Lepisosteus oculatus: one gene and its partner. The protein of the gene in region 2 interacts with the protein of the main gene of each other region in a pairwise test. Links are inferred from orthologs where the notes say so. Each region holds a gene or a part of one and is shown on either strand. Other genes may lie near its edges. The genes, in order: pax10 and ipo13b.

Region 1 (7,720 bases), on a different chromosome or scaffold from region 2:
GAATTATGCCCCTCAAACATGTTGGAATATCTCTGGAAGTATAGACTGTAGTGGCCTGGTTTAGGTCTTTAAACAAACGTAAAACCCTTTTTTATAGAATTTGAATTGGAACTGCCAGCTCAGCTATGACACTTGAGCATCGTGACCCTCCACGGGGCCGATAATGTCTCTCATCTTTAGAGCAGCTCTGCAATCTTGCCCTGCGTCTTCGTGGCCCTGTGACCCTGTGACCCTATCAGCCGGCAGGCGGGAGAGAGCACCGCCGTCCCAGGCGCCCCGCGGTGTCGGGGTCGGGGTCAGAGTCGGGGTCAGAGCTGAGGTCAGGAGAAATAAGACACTTACAGGGAAGCGTATCTGTGAGAAGTGTGCAAGAGCTAGAAATACTAACATGTTCTGCAGGATCTGTACGATGATGCAGTGCTCAAAGCACAAGTGCTCCGGCCATGTGGGTCTCAGTTCGATCCCCTGCACTACTACTGACTACTGACTCAGTCTGCATCACTCTGCAAGAGTTAGTGAACCTCCTCCTGCTCTGTTCTCCAGACAAGACTGTAGCTGTAGTCACTGATGTTATATCTCACTCCTTAAAAGCCTCTGATGTCATAGTTCACTTCCCCAGCCTATGACGTCCTATTTCACCCATTCCTAACCTCTGATGCCATAGTTCATCCCTCCCAGTCTATGATGTCATAGTTCACCTCCCAGCCTATGATGTCATATCTCACTCCTTCAGACTCTGATGTCACAGTGCACTGCTCTGGTCCCTGTGTTTTCTATCAGAAAGCCACTCTTACCATTAGTGTGCTGTGTTGGCACAGTGCTGTCCTGGTGGTACCAGCTGGTGGGTCCACTCCAGTTAGACCCGCTCTGCAGATTGATCATGGCCAGCTTCTCATACATGCCCTCTATACCCATCGACCTCTGACCTGTCACCTCTCACCTACACCCTGACCTTCCACACTGGTCCAATGGCAGGAACTGCAAATGACAAGAGAGGAAGTGGCTGAGGAATATTGAACTCCACTATACCTGGAACAGGGATGTACAAGCCATTTCATTCAAATTTCACAGCACTCCTGACTGTACTGCAAAACAAAAGTTTCCGGATATCCCACTCGTGATGTCCAGGGCTAACTCCAGCAGTCCCAGCTGTCAGCCAGGATCCCGATCCCTGTCCTCCTCGGCCCCCTGCCTGCTGTCCCTGGAGGAAGAGGCCTGGAGTCCTAACCCTACCACCAGCTGCGGCCTGGACACAGCCCTGCCTGCACGGGCACGCTGGTGCCCTGGCCCACCGCTGTGGGGAAGGGGTCTGTGCTGCAGGGAGCTGGACACAGCCCTGCCTGCACTGGCACGCTGGTGCCCTGGCCCACCGCTGTGGGGAAGGGGTCTGTGCTGCAGGGAGCTGGACACAGCCCTGCCTGCACTGGCACGCTGGTGCCCTGGCACACCGCTGTGGGGAAGGGGTCTGTGCTGCAGGGAGCTGGACACAGCCCTGCCTGCACGGGCACGCTGGTGCCCTGGCCCACCGCTGTGGGGAAGGGTCTGTGCTGCAATCACACACAACAGCAGTTTACAGCGAGCGTTCGGGAGGCTTGACGGCAGCCGCGTTCAATCAGCCTCAGCTGTCCTGATTCGGAATCATTCGCGACGTCATTTCCTCGCGTTAAAAAAATAAATCCGATACGTCAGGCCTCTCCTCTCCCTCACACACGTCTCCTGCCCCCCTCCTCCTGCCCTCTGCTCCTCTGCAGCTGCCCCTGGGTCTCTCCTCCCTCCACAGGGGGTCCCAGCCTGCACTGCTCTGGCCAAATTAATTTACTGTGACTTAAACACCCAATTAACATTCCCAGTTAACATTTCCAGTCAACCTCAATCTGTACAGCAGATTTACCCACAGAGTTGAGTGAGAAAGCAGAAGAGCTGAGGAATACATGTACGACAATACAATGTACGACAAAAAATCAAACATAGATAAGCAGGTTAAAAAGACTGGCAAGATGATAAAAGACGGTATTCTTCAGTCTAGGTACAGAACCCGTTCCTGAAAGTGCATCTGTGACAAAGGAGGGAACACAATTCATCTCTCTCGCCAGCTCCCGTCATTTAAAGGTCTTCTCTAGGACCAGTGAAAACTGATTTAGTGCTCATACAGCCTTAGTGAAATAGTTAGGCGCCAGTCCATTTACTGACTTTTAATTTTAGCATTCAAATTTCAAAAAGCTATTTTGTAGGCAACTGGAAGCCAGTGTAGTGAGACCAGCGCAGAGGTTGGAGATGCAGTTTCTCTGTCCTAGTTAAAACCCCAGCAGCCGCAGTCCGGTACTCTGATCCAGAGGAAACATTCCCCTCAGCCAGGGAAAGAAAGGAGCTCATTTTCACTAGATCTGAGCATAAAATCAGGACAGTAAACCTCACATTTCTTTTCCTGGAGAAATGTAGTAAGACCTCTCTCTTATCGGAGCTCCATGGCGGAAATCTCTGGAATCCCATTTCCGACATCAGCGAGAGACTAAAGACACCGGACACTGGGGCTCTCAGGACCAGCTGGGATAAATCCCACTTCCACCAGCTTCCGAATAATCTTTGCACTTTGAGAAAGAAAGGACTGCAGCAGAGCTTCTGAGCTCGTGTGGCCTTCAGCAGTGACCCGGAATATCGGGAATGACGGTCTTCTGGAAATCAGAAGGCTCTCACCCAGCGGATCACACTGCTGGGATCCAGTCTGGCCTTACCGCTGTCCTAATGCCACACAGAACTGTAAGACAGTGTAGGAACGGCGGTGCGATGTGACTATCGGCAACAGCCCATCCCGGCAGCGGGGGATCAGGCGGCCGCAGACTCCTGCGATTTCCCTTCGCGGCGGCTTCAGAAATCCTTTATCGAGAGACAGGAATATTGCGCACGCCCAGCCTCCAGACCCTGCGCCTCAAACCAGCACCCACCCCCCTGGCTGCACTGAGCAGGACGCCCCACAGCGACGGTGGGGTAAACGAGGGGTAACGGGGCTCGGTCGGGGGGGGGGCGAAGGGGTCACCCCCCTAGCCCGAGCCCAGTGTTCCCCTCTCCCGGAGCTCCTGCCCTGCCCGGTCGGCAGCAGGGACGGCTCTGTCCCGCCTGCAGCCTGCGGACCACCGCGAGCTGGGGGTCCCTCTTCCCGCGCCAGACTTACCTGCAGCTGGGTGCCGAGTCCTCGTCGCAGGCAGCCTGGTCCGCGCTCTGCCGAGGAGACACTGGCGGGGCTGGGGGACGCAGGCGGAGGAGAGAGAGGCGGGAGGCGGGAGGCGGGAGGCGGGAGGCGGGAGGCGGGAGGCGTCTGCGGGCGCTCGTCGCTCCGAGCGATGGAAAAGGGAGCGCGGGGGGGGCGCGGGAGTGCAGTGACACATACGCTCAGTGTTAGTGTCATCTTTGAACTTAATGCTCCAGAATGGGCCGATCAGGAGGGAGAGGGAAGGAGGTCAGGCAGCCGGAATTACTTATGGAAGAGAAACAAAGGGGTGCGTTTCCGCAGAAAACGCCAGGCAGCTTCGAGACTCTGCTTCACAGCCCGCTTCCTCGCACCTGGAACCAGGCTGGCCTCTCACTCCTCTTGCTCCAGCTGTGTGTTGCCTTAGGGAAGCCAGCGGTTACAGAGTGAGGCCCTACAGCTGCTCCAGCGACACGAGGGCCCGGGCAAGGTGGTCTCCAGCACGTCCCCCGCTGGGCCTGTGAGGGGCACACGCCTCAGACACAGGTGAGAGGATCTACTGTGGATCTGGAAGGATCTACTGTGGATCTGCTACTGTAGACCCTTCCAGGACAGGCTGGCAAGAGCAGCTGTTGGAGTGAATCATGGGTATAAACATTCGTTATGTCTCACAGATGTACAGCAGATGTACAGCAGACAAAGATATAGCTGGAGACACAGACACTGACTTCAGAAAACACAACTGTCCTTCCCAGAAGTACAAGAGTTTCTCAGCAATGTGTGCATCTGGGGCTCCCTGGGGTGCAAAGCTCCTATTTCTCCCTTTTGCACAAAACCCTGGACACAAGGGGCAGAAAGGAGGGGCAGCTCTCTGCACTCCAGCTGGGTGACCACATCGCCTGGGATGCTGTATTTCCTGTACACGCTCTGACTCTTAACTTCATCCACAGAGATATTTCCTAAAGGGGCTCCCTGACACCCCCAAGTGTGGTCTGTGCCCTCCAGGCTTTTATATCTGGTGAATTAGGGTGTTTGGATTTTGGGGGTCAGTCTCTTTTCTCTGTGTCCGGTGTCCTCCATCGTCTCTCCTGCTGAGTGAGGGTATCTGTGTTGCAGACGCAGACTGCACTAACTGGCATTCCTGTTGATACAGGGATGCACTCGACTCAGACGGCCTCTGCACATCCTTCCCCAGAAGAAATGGGGAGAGGGCGGGGGGGTGGGGGAGAGGAGGAGAGTGTCAGTGCAGTTCACTTCCAGTTGAGAGGGTGATGCAGCCTGTCTCTGGTGGGTCTGTCACCTCCTTCACAGGAGCGAGAGGCTGGGACACAGAGACAGAAGGAGAGAGCGGAGCAGATGAAGGAGGAAGATGAAAGAGGTTTCACATGCAGTATGGAAGTATCTATTTCTGCTTTCTACGTGAATGGAGAACTAGAGATACAGAGTAAGACATTGGAAGACAAGGGGGACAAAGGCTAGAAAGAAGAGGGACAGTTCACAAATACACTGAGACACTCCCCAATGCTGAGACACACTTACACTGAGACACTCCCCAGTGCTGAGAGACACTGAGAGACACTGAGACACTCCACAGTGCTGAGAGACACTGAGAGACACTGAGACACTCCACAGTGCTGAGAGACACTGAGACACTCCCCAGTGCTGAGAGACACTGAGACACTCCACAGTGCTGAGAGACACTGAGACACTCCACAGTGCTGAGAGACACTGACACTGAGACACTCCCCAGTGCTGAGAGAGACTGACACTGAGACACTCCCCAGTGCTGAGAGACACTGAGACACTCCACAGTGCTGAGAGACACTGAGACACTCCACAGTGCTGAGAGACACTGACACTGAGACACTCCACAGTGCTGAGACACACTGAGACACTCCCCAGTGCTGAGAGACACTGACACTGAGACATTCCCCAGTGCTGAGAGACACTGAGACACTCCCCAGTGCTGAGAGACACTGACACTGAGACACTCCACAGTGCTGAGAGACACTGAGACACTCCACAGTGCTGAGACACACTGAGACACTCCCCAGTGCTGAGAGACACTGAGACACTCCCCAGTGCTGAGAGACACTGACACTGAGACACTCCCCAGTGCTGAGAGACACTGACACTGAGACACTCCACAGTGCTGAGAGACACTGAGACACTCCCCAGTGCTGAGAGACACTGACACTGAGACACTCCACAGTGCTGAGACACACTGAGACACTCCCCAGTGCTGAGAGACACTGAGACATTCACGTGTCATTGTGTATCTCAGTGTGAGTATCTCACTGTGTGAATGTCAGCGTGTGTCTCCCAGTTTGTGTGTTAGTGTGACTCTCAGTGTGTGTGTGTGTCTCCCAGTGTGTACCTCCCAGTGTGTGTATTGTGTGTGGATCTCACTGTCCGTTTCTCAGTGCGTGTGTCAGTACGGTCAGTGTTTGTATTTCAGTGTGTGTACCTCACTGTATCCCAGTGTGTCTCTCAGTGTGTGTGTGTCAGCATGTGAGTCTGTTTGTGTCAGTGTGTGATTCAGTGTGTTTCAGTGTGTATGTGTATTAGTGTGTGTCAGTTTGTGTGTCTATGTGTATCAGTGTGTGTGTGTTTCAGTGTCTATGTGTATCAGTGTGTGTGTCAGTTTATGTATTCGTGTGTGTGTCTATGTGAATCAGTGTGAGTGTGTGTATCTATTTGTGAGAGTGTGTTTCAGTGTCTATGTGTGTGTGTGTGTCAGTGTGTGTGCCAGTTTATGTATTGGTGTGTGTGTCAGTTTATGTATTAGTGTGTGTGTCAGTGTGTGTGTAAGTTTATGTATCAGTGTGTGTGTAAGTTTATGTATCAGAGTGTGTGTCAGTGTGTGTGTCAGTGTGTGTATTAGTGTGTGTGTGTCAGTGTGTGTATTAGTGCGTGTATCAGTGTGTGTCAGTGTGTGTATTAGTGTGTGTATTAGTGTGTGTGTCAGTGTGTGTGTCAGTGTGTGTATCAGTGCGTGTATCAGTGTGTGTCAGTGTGTGTCAGTGTGTGTGTCAGTGTGTGTGTCAGTGTGTGTCAGTGTGTGTGTCAGTGTGTGTGTAAGTTTATGTATCAGAGTGTGTGTCAGTGTGTGTATCAGTGCGTGTATCAGTGTGTGTGTCAGTGCGTGTATCAGTGCGTGTGTCAGTGTGTGTGTCAGTGTGTGTATCAGTGTGTGTCAGTGTGTATCAGTGCGTGTATCAGTGTGTGTGTCAGTGCGTGTATCAGTGCGTGTGTCAGTGCGTGTGTCAGTGTGTGTGTCAGTGTGTGTGTCAGTGTGTGTGTCAGTGTGTGTCAGTGTGTGTGTCAGTGTGTGTGTCAGTGTGTGTTTACAGAGAAGAGATCTCCTCCCTCAGGGTCTGTTCTTTCCCTCCTCTCAGGTCAGCCTGTCATGTTGTTTCTCTCCCTCTCTCTCTCCTCTTGCTATCTCTCTCTCTCTCCTCTTCTCTCCCTCTCCTCTCTTCCCTCTCTCGTCTCTCCTCTCTCTCCTGCTGCTGAGGGGGCCGAGGTGACACTGGGTGGGGGGGGGTGATTTCTGAGGAGAGAAGAATTTGGAGTGGGGGGGGGTGCTGGAGAAGAGGTCTCCATGGCAACACTGCCGGGACAAATCTCTGTCACCCTAATCAAGTCAGAGGGAAAAATAAAAGCCGAAACTTTAGAGGCTTCTTCACTCGTACTCCGAAAGAGCCGTTCACTCTAGTACAGCTCTCTACCTGCGCAGGCTGGAAATATCTCAGTGAAGACCCAGGACTTCAGGTCCGGCGGCTCTCTTTGTACCATCTCACCCCACTGGACACCCCGGGGCAGGAGCTCGGCTCAGGCGGGCTCACCCCACTGGAGCAGGAGGCACACCCGAGCTCCACCAGCGTCAGCCATCTCCTCTCCTCGTCTGGGAGGCGCGGAGAGCGAGGCCCTTTCTGTCCCCTCGTACAGGTGGCACGGCTCTCCTGCTCAGCGCTGTGGCCAGCATCCTGGCTGCTCCTCCCCGATACTCTTCCAGTGCCGAGTGAGAAAAACAGGAACAGGCTTCTAAGTAGCACGGCCCCCCTCCCCCCTGCCCCCTGCCCCCCTGCTCTCTCTCTCCCCCCCTCGCGGTGCCGCGCGTAGCCCCGGGCGATGTGGTGACGCGGCCGCGCTCTCTCTCCGCGGCGCTCGGGCTGCTGTCGGCTCGCATCGGTCAGCGCAGTCCCAGACGCGGCCGGCGGCGCGGAGAGGGAGCGGGGGGGTGGAGGGGGGCTGGGGAGGGAGAGACGAGAGTCTGTCGGGAGCTCTGTGTGTCTGTCCGCGGGATGCCTGCTGGGACACACCTGCAGGAGGTGAGCTCGGGCCGGAGCGAGGAGGAACCTGTTGGCTGCAGGCGGTGTGCTCATGGACTGCGCACAGGGAGAGACAGGACGTTTCTCATCTCAACACAGGATCCTGGTGCTCTCTGAGACACAGCTTCTATCCGCACTGTCACACTGACACAGTGTCACAGACCGGCCCTCTGACAAAGAATAAGGCACCAGCGCGAGACAG
Region 2 (7,390 bases):
GGGCAACACGCTTGCCTTTTGTTGTTGTTGCGTTTTTTTTTTTCGTTCCCCGTTTCCCGGGATGAAAGATGTAGTAGCCTTAGTTGTCAAAGGCCCTTTGAGCTATAAATAACTGCGGGAGAGAGCTAGGGAGCGTGTGTGAGAGATACAGAGGGAGGGGGCAGTGGTAAGAGATGTTTCCTCTCTCACCCTCTTCCCTGAGCTGCTGAGCCCCAAAGCAACGGATTTACAGCAGCGAGAAGTGCCACGTGTGTCGGCCGGCGCCTAGTGGAGTGTGCCGGTCACTGTAGACCGCAACACACAGCGACCGGTTTGAGGACGCTCTGAATGTGCCGAGAAGTTCTTCGTATAACTCCCAGCCCTTCTTTTTGCCTCGATTCCGGGATTTCACAGAAGGATCGGTGCAGCAGAGTGGTAAACGGAGTCCCGGGTCCCGCTCTGGGTCGCGCAAGCGGCTTGTTGTCCGGCTCCCTGCTGCCTGGCTGCTCGGTCCTACAGTAGTTCAGTCTGGCTGCGAGCGCTGAAATGAGACTTGGTTTTGCTCGCCCTCTTCTCGAGCAGCAGGCTGGCAGACACGCCTCGAGTGGCAGGCGATTGGCTCCTTAGAGTTTTTAAGGACGTTTACAACACTGCTTTTATCACCCCCCTCCACACACACACATACACAGCCTCCGCCTGCACAAGCCGCTCCCCTGCTAAACGCACGACGCGAAAGATCTCACAGAGGAGCGACCTCACTGTTCTGCTGTAGGTGCACCCTCTGGACGTGGATCCAGTCTGTTGCAGGGCTGTGGGGGTTAGTGATGGCGAGGTAGGCGAATTTCAGGCGTGGGCAGGGCTGACTGGTCATATCGGTCTAGCCTCCACGACTGGCCGTGTCATTCGGGGATCGTTTTGATTTGTAGTTTCTGGTTCAATCGCCTCGTTGCATTAAACACAACCAGGGGACTCCACAGCCTCAGTGACGTGCTGACTCCAATCTAGGTATCGCTGCAATACAGATACAATGTCTTTCATTCTTCTTTGGGGTACTTTTGGCCAGAGCTTTAACGACGTGTTTGCGAGCATTAAAAGAACTGAGAGTACAAGGTTTCCTGCGTAGCAAATGTGTACATCACAGGCCGTCTGCCCATTTCAGCGCGCTGGTAAACACGCGTGGTTACCAGTCCTCCGCTCTGAGAAGTGTTCTGGGGGCGGCCGGTCCGTGGGGGTTACCTTCAGCCCCGTACTGTGCGCATCACTCTGGGTGACAGGCGCTCTGCCTTGAAAGTTTGTTCTCGAGGTTACTTTCTTTAAAATGGTCTCTAAAACTAAAGGAGCACTTTAACTAAAGGGGCAGTTTTGATTTTGTTTCCATAGGCGGCATTAGTAAAAAAGAAAAAAGCATGTGCAGCAGAATGGGAAAACAAACCCCCAGACACCCTGAAAAAAACGGTTTTTGGGACAGATGACACTTATCCGCTAAGGAGAGACAACAGCGGAAGCAGAGACGGACCAATACGCTGCCCCGCAGCGCGACAGATCCACACCCAGCACAAAGAGCGTTTTCCCGCAGAGACGCACCTGTCACTGTTATTGACCAGAAACCCACAGAGCTACAGGCCAGCGGCTGAACGCGTTCTAGAATCACAGTCCCGCCCCTGTAGGGCAGACACGTAAATGACTAGGCTTTAAGAACATGTATATTTTAATATCTTCACAGCCGGATATATTTAATTGTATGCAGTGTTAACGAGCTGTTTTGACACCGGCATTTCTTTACATTACCTACCCCACCGTGCCTTGAGCCTGCCTTGTCTGGTACTGGAGAAAACGAAACAACACATTTAAAATCACGACTTATCAGTAATAATGTGAGACGGTTTATTTATTTATGATGATGATGATGATAATGATGATGAAAAACAGAAGGTAACATGTATTGAAAGTATTTTCTAAACTGTGAGGAACCTGTATTTTGACATCAGAAGTATGTGTTTTCTCTCACCAGTTGCTGAATCACATCAGCTGTAAATGACGTCAGTCACCCCAAAATCAGCTGCTCCTGTTTCCATGACACGCGGTTTCCAGAGCAACCCTCGACTGCACTTGTACCCTGGCACCGCTAGAGGTCGCTGCATTCACTCTTCTTAGGAATAGCTGCTGCAGCGTGCGGACTACGGCTGGTATTGCAGATCAACCGCTCAGACAATTACGGCAGCGATGGGTGTCAAACATACGCCAATATATCGAGCAGTGCATTTTACTGTACAGTCTTTTTCTTTTTATAAAGTATTCCTAGTGTAGTAGTAATCATCATCATCATTCTGTCAGTTAATGTTTTTGTTTTTCTTATTAATTTAACCAACGTTAAGAATATACGTTAAGAACATGTGAACAGAAGAGAAATGACAACCCTAAATCTATCTTTTCGGGCAGCTTGTTCCAGACCCCTGATGCTCTTGTGTAAGGAAATGTAAGGAAATCACGGGTGTGTCCTGGGTTGACCTTTTCAACTCCTGCTTTGGTCTGTATTCTGGCCTGCTGCACACTGGCCACAATACTCTTCTATGGAGCCGCCTGCTCTGGAGTTCTGTCTTCAGAGCTTAAAACTGCTGCTGTCACACTAGTGAAAAAAAAAAAACGAACCAACCAAACGGTATGTGAAGTAATTACAGGCTTACTTCAAACCATTTGTCATCGAAAAGAACGAATTCTCGGGTGGTTTTTGTTTCACCCAAGACCTCAGCTGCGTGGTTAGGCTGATTATTAAATTCGCTGCCTAATTGTAATACTTCTAACACCGATTTGAGGTAACAGTACCTCTAAGAAAACTGGACATATTTTAATTCAGAAAATAATTGTTTTTTTTTAATAAGTGTTTAATAATTGACTACTCATGTTGAAACGAAAACCAGAAGACACAAGGCTCTCCAAGTAACTGAGTTTGCGACCTCTGGTCTGAAACAGTACGGCACTCCGTCCAGCGCGACTGTATCGGCTGTGGTTTGCCAGTAGGGGACATTGTTACACTAGAATATCCCATTTTGTTAAACTCCACCCCTCCCACCCGCAAGGAGAGAAAAATACATTTTCCACAATGCACCGCGGGGGACCTATCTTTATATAAATGACCGTAGCGTGCCTGATCAAAAAGAGAAATTAAATAGCGGGAAGACCGCAAGGGAAAAGGAAAACGCAGCGGGGCTCATTCTCCACCCCCCCCATTTGAATTATTTTAATGTACACTATGGCATTATTGCTGACATTTTGCTTGTTTCCTGTCATACAGCGCGTGATTTCGCATGTTGAATCCCCCCTCTCCCTCCTGTCTGATGGAGTCCGAGGCAGCAGCGTCATTCCGGATGAGGACCCAGCGAGGCTGGCTGAGTGTGCTCTTGCTGCAGTGAAGCAGCGGCGTGTCTGACAGTGACGAGACGGAATTTGTACAAATATCCATATATCAGTGCTCGCACGTATGTAGTGTAAGCTGCATATCCAGCTGTAGTTCTGTACCTTAAGTTATGGCATGACGGACCGCCTTAGTCACGGAGTAGCTAGCGTTATCGTGTTTCCCACCAGTAGCATCTTCGTATACTGATGGTTGATGCATTTTTTTAAAAAATAAGGCTGGCTTTTCGATGCCGATGTGAGAGGAACGCTGAGTGGCATCATGGACATCGGAGCGGAGTAGCTCAGGCGCTCAGCTGCTGTCTCTGAGGAGCTCCGGCGACCGGGAGCAGGCAGGGGCTGTTTTTTTAACGCCTCCCGAATCGCAGGGGGGACGAAAATTCAGGGAGAGAGGGCGGGTGTACCGTTTCTGAAAGGGTTGCAGGGAGGCGAGGAGTCGTTGATTTTGTTTTATCTGTTCGGAAAACACGCTTAGTCCAGAGGTCTGGGGCGTAGGGTAGCTTGAAGGAGAGATCGGACTAGTGCCCCGCCGGTCATTCCCGCTTCACCAGAGGCGGCGATCACAGGGGCAGTAGTTGTATTTCTCCGGACGTTCCCCAAACCACCTGTCCTGTCCGACAGTCGGCTTTCTACCCCTGCCCGTTTCTCACTCGCATTGAGCAGGCATGGAGCCGGGCCGACCCGCTCACTCTCCCGATTCCCTGGAGTTCACGGTGGAGAACGTGGAAAAGGTGAGTCAAATTAAATTCCCCATCCCCACTCGTACCCGTGGTTGTCACGGTAATGCAGTTTTGCGGTAATCGTGGGAAAGGTGGTTTACGCTAGTAGTGGTATTTTAAGGGGCTCAGGCGCTCAGCTGCTGTCTCTGAGGAGCTCCGGCGACCGGGAGCAGGCAGGGGCTGTTTTTTTAACGCCTCCCGAATCGCAGGGGGGACGAAAATTCAGGGAGAGAGGGCGGGTGTACCGTTTCTGAAAGGGTTGCAGGGAGGCGAGGAGTCGTTGATTTTGTTTTATCTGTTCGGAAAACACGCTTAGTCCAGAGGTCTGGGGCGTAGGGTAGCTTGAAGGAGAGATCGGACTAGTGCCCCGCCGGTCATTCCCGCTTCACCAGAGGCGGCGATCACAGGGGCAGTAGTTGTATTTCTCCGGACGTTCCCCAAACCACCTGTCCTGTCCGACAGTCGGCTTTCTACCCCTGCCCGTTTCTCACTCGCATTGAGCAGGCATGGAGCCGGGCCGACCCGCTCACTCTCCCGATTCCCTGGAGTTCACGGTGGAGAACGTGGAAAAGGTGAGTCAAATTAAATTCCCCATCCCCACTCGTACCCGTGGTTGTCACGGTAATGCAGTTTTGCGGTAATCGTGGGAAAGGTGGTTTACGCTAGTAGTGGTATTTTAAGGGGGCAACACGCACGTAAGGTCTGGCTTTATCATCACTAGTGCCGCTGATATCGGGTATCAAGATGTCTGTTGCTATTTTTATGAGGTGAATGTTACTATTGGCAGGGCTGTTGTTTAGGCTGTGGGTGTTTGTGACAGTGTCAGCTCCCACCTCCCCCCCCCCCGGGGGCGTGGGGGTATTGGCTGCGCCGTGTCCGTGCGGAGACGGTGACACTGGAGCACAAACGCTGCGAGGCGGGGGGTGTCACATACCGCACGCACCTGGCAGCCGGCTCCTCTGCAGCTCTTCCACACCCGACACCTCAGCAGTGCGATCGGGCTGATCGATACTCCTGACAGCTGCAATGGACTTTGACGTCCCCGGGCACCAATGGGCTGTGGTGTGTGTTTCTAAGGTCCGGTCTGACCCGCTGTGCAGTGTGAGCGGTGTCTTGGTTGTGTTGTCAGGGAGCTCACAACGAAAGCTTGGGAGCGATGACAACAGCCACGTTAAGTCAGCCTCAGCCGCTCTAAAGCCTGATGATTCTTGACGTCGTTTCCTTTAAAAGGGGTAAATACTACACCTCTCTTCCAACCACTCCGTCAGCCCATCTCCAGCTGTTTAGCTGCCCCTTGTCCACCCCTCAATCTGCAGAGGGACCCCAGCCTCCCTGTGCTGTGGCCAGCGGGCAGGCCCACTGCCGAGAGAATTAAGATGAAAATTTACTGCGACTGAAACGCTCTGTACCCATTCTCAACACGCTTAAGCTCGGTTTGGGCTGAGTTTTAGTGATGGTCAGGTCAAACCTGCTGGGCTTCTGTCTGACAGCTCCACCTGGACAGTGTGGACGGAGAGTGAGGGCAGGGCGCTGTCAGGGCCCGCTGGACTCTTCTCTGCAGTCCGCATCATTCTGGTGTGTCTGGGCAAGCAAAGACCTGTAGCTCACAGGCTCCCAGTCAACAGCAGCTTGTGTCTAGAAGGGCAGATTTTAAAGAATGCTGGGCAGCTCTGTTGCTAAGTTACCTGCAGACTGCCCTGAGGTTTAGTTGGGTCCAGTTGGTCTTTCCCCCGTGTGTCAAATTTGTAGTGATGGCGAGGTGAGTAAGCAGCTGGAGTGGACAGATTTATTTGTATGACCGACCTGCCTGTAATCTTCAGTTTTGCCAATCTCTTTGCGGTACGGGGCCCTCCCAGTGCAGAGACAGTGGGAGTAAAAAAAAAAATCTCAAGTTTAAACCAGGGATGGCCACATTTGGCCCGTCAGAGATCGCACTCCAGCCGCTACAAAATGGCGGCTCAGTTTTCTGTCTCTGCCTCGTCAGCGGCTTGGACTGGAGGGGAGTCTATTCCTTGAGGACCGCAGGGCCTGCCTTTCCTGCTCCTCTCTGCCCAGGAGGTGTTTAACGAGCTGAATCCGTTATTGATTCACAGGTTCAAGCTTCCCCAGTATTTCCCGTACGGGAGCTCCAGCGATGACTTCCAGGTTTTGTGGTCAGCTGCGGACATTTTATCTAATAACGCTATAGTTCCTTTGGGATCTTTTTTTTTTTTTCCTCTGGATTCCATCAGGCAGTTGCGGTTTTCAGCTGTAGCGCTGATGTGATCAGTCAAAAGCCAGAACGCTGGAATTTGAGGGTGGCGTTCTGCATGATGGAGGCATCAAGTGTACCCACCTGACTTGTTAGCTGTTGTCAAGGGTGTGGGCTGTTGGGGCGGGTTGGCTGGACAAAGCTCTCATCCAGCGCTAGGCCTGCTGGCTCTTGTCCTCTCTGCTTTTGCTTACTAATGACTGGCCAATGATGGTTCTGGGCAGTGGTGTCAACATTCATACCAGAACCCAATTTTTTCCCCATCCAAGCTCATAGCCTACCTTCAGAGATCCATTAAGCCGTTTTTATGTCTACTGGAGGGAGTTCGGGATGAGTGATTTTTAGAATGGGATTTTTCCGTTATTAGTTGTGAGGTGATAAAGCAATAATGGGGGTTTGAAATGAACACTGTTCTGCACGTGCCGAAGCCAGAGAACGTGGGCAGGGTGAAGACTGCTGAAGAATCCTTTGTCTTTTCTCCTGCTGGGGGAGTCTGCTTCTTTTTTGTTTTTGTTTGCACAAGGCGCAGATAAGTGAGTCCGAAGCCGCTGGTTCTTCAGTTTTGTGATCGTCTAAGCCGGGGGTCATCAGTCCTGGTAAAGCACCGGCACCCGTTAAGAGCGGAGAGCAGGTGGGAAAGTGACCCAGTCTAGCCCGTGATGAGCCGATTCAGGTTGTTCAGGCCTCAGCTGTGCTACACACCTGTAGACAGGACGGCCCCGCGGGATTAGAAAGGGAAACCGCTGGTGTAAATCCCTGTGACTGGCCTGATTCTGGGTGGCCTTCTCTCCTGCGCTCAGCTCGGCTCTGGGAGCTGCAGGGCGCTCTGGGATTGCCTTCCTGCTGTAGTCATGGCCCTGCGCTGGGTGTGTGCGTGGGCTGGCGGGGGGATGGAGCGAATGATGAAATGGGCGCTGGGGCATTGCACTGCAGGGATGTTGTTGACGTGCTGGCTTGTGTTAGATGGGAGCTCTGAGGTTGAGGGTGCAGACCAGGGTTCGAGCAGACAGCAGGGCGGGACTCACCCAAA

The links.
Region 1: the proteins of ipo13b (region 2) and pax10 interact in a two-hybrid assay, tested with the Homo sapiens proteins (2 studies listed by BioGRID and IntAct). The link is inferred for Lepisosteus oculatus from reciprocal best matches to the Homo sapiens genes IPO13 and PAX6.

Annotation. Positions count from the first base shown.
Region 1 is NC_090702.1:244,667-252,386, reverse strand, and holds the start of pax10 (paired box 10), read right to left. Parts: upstream 3,251-7,720; 5' UTR 3,170-3,250; intron 979-3,169; 5' UTR 916-978; coding exon 795-915; intron 1-794. UniProt on the Homo sapiens protein: Transcription factor with important functions in the development of the eye, nose, central nervous system and pancreas. Required for the differentiation of pancreatic islet alpha cells.
Region 2 is NC_090704.1:31,940,537-31,947,926, forward strand, and holds the start of ipo13b (importin-13), read left to right. Parts: upstream 1-4,238; 5' UTR 4,239-4,615; coding exon 4,616-4,681; intron 4,682-7,390. UniProt on the Homo sapiens protein: Functions in nuclear protein import as nuclear transport receptor. Serves as receptor for nuclear localization signals (NLS) in cargo substrates.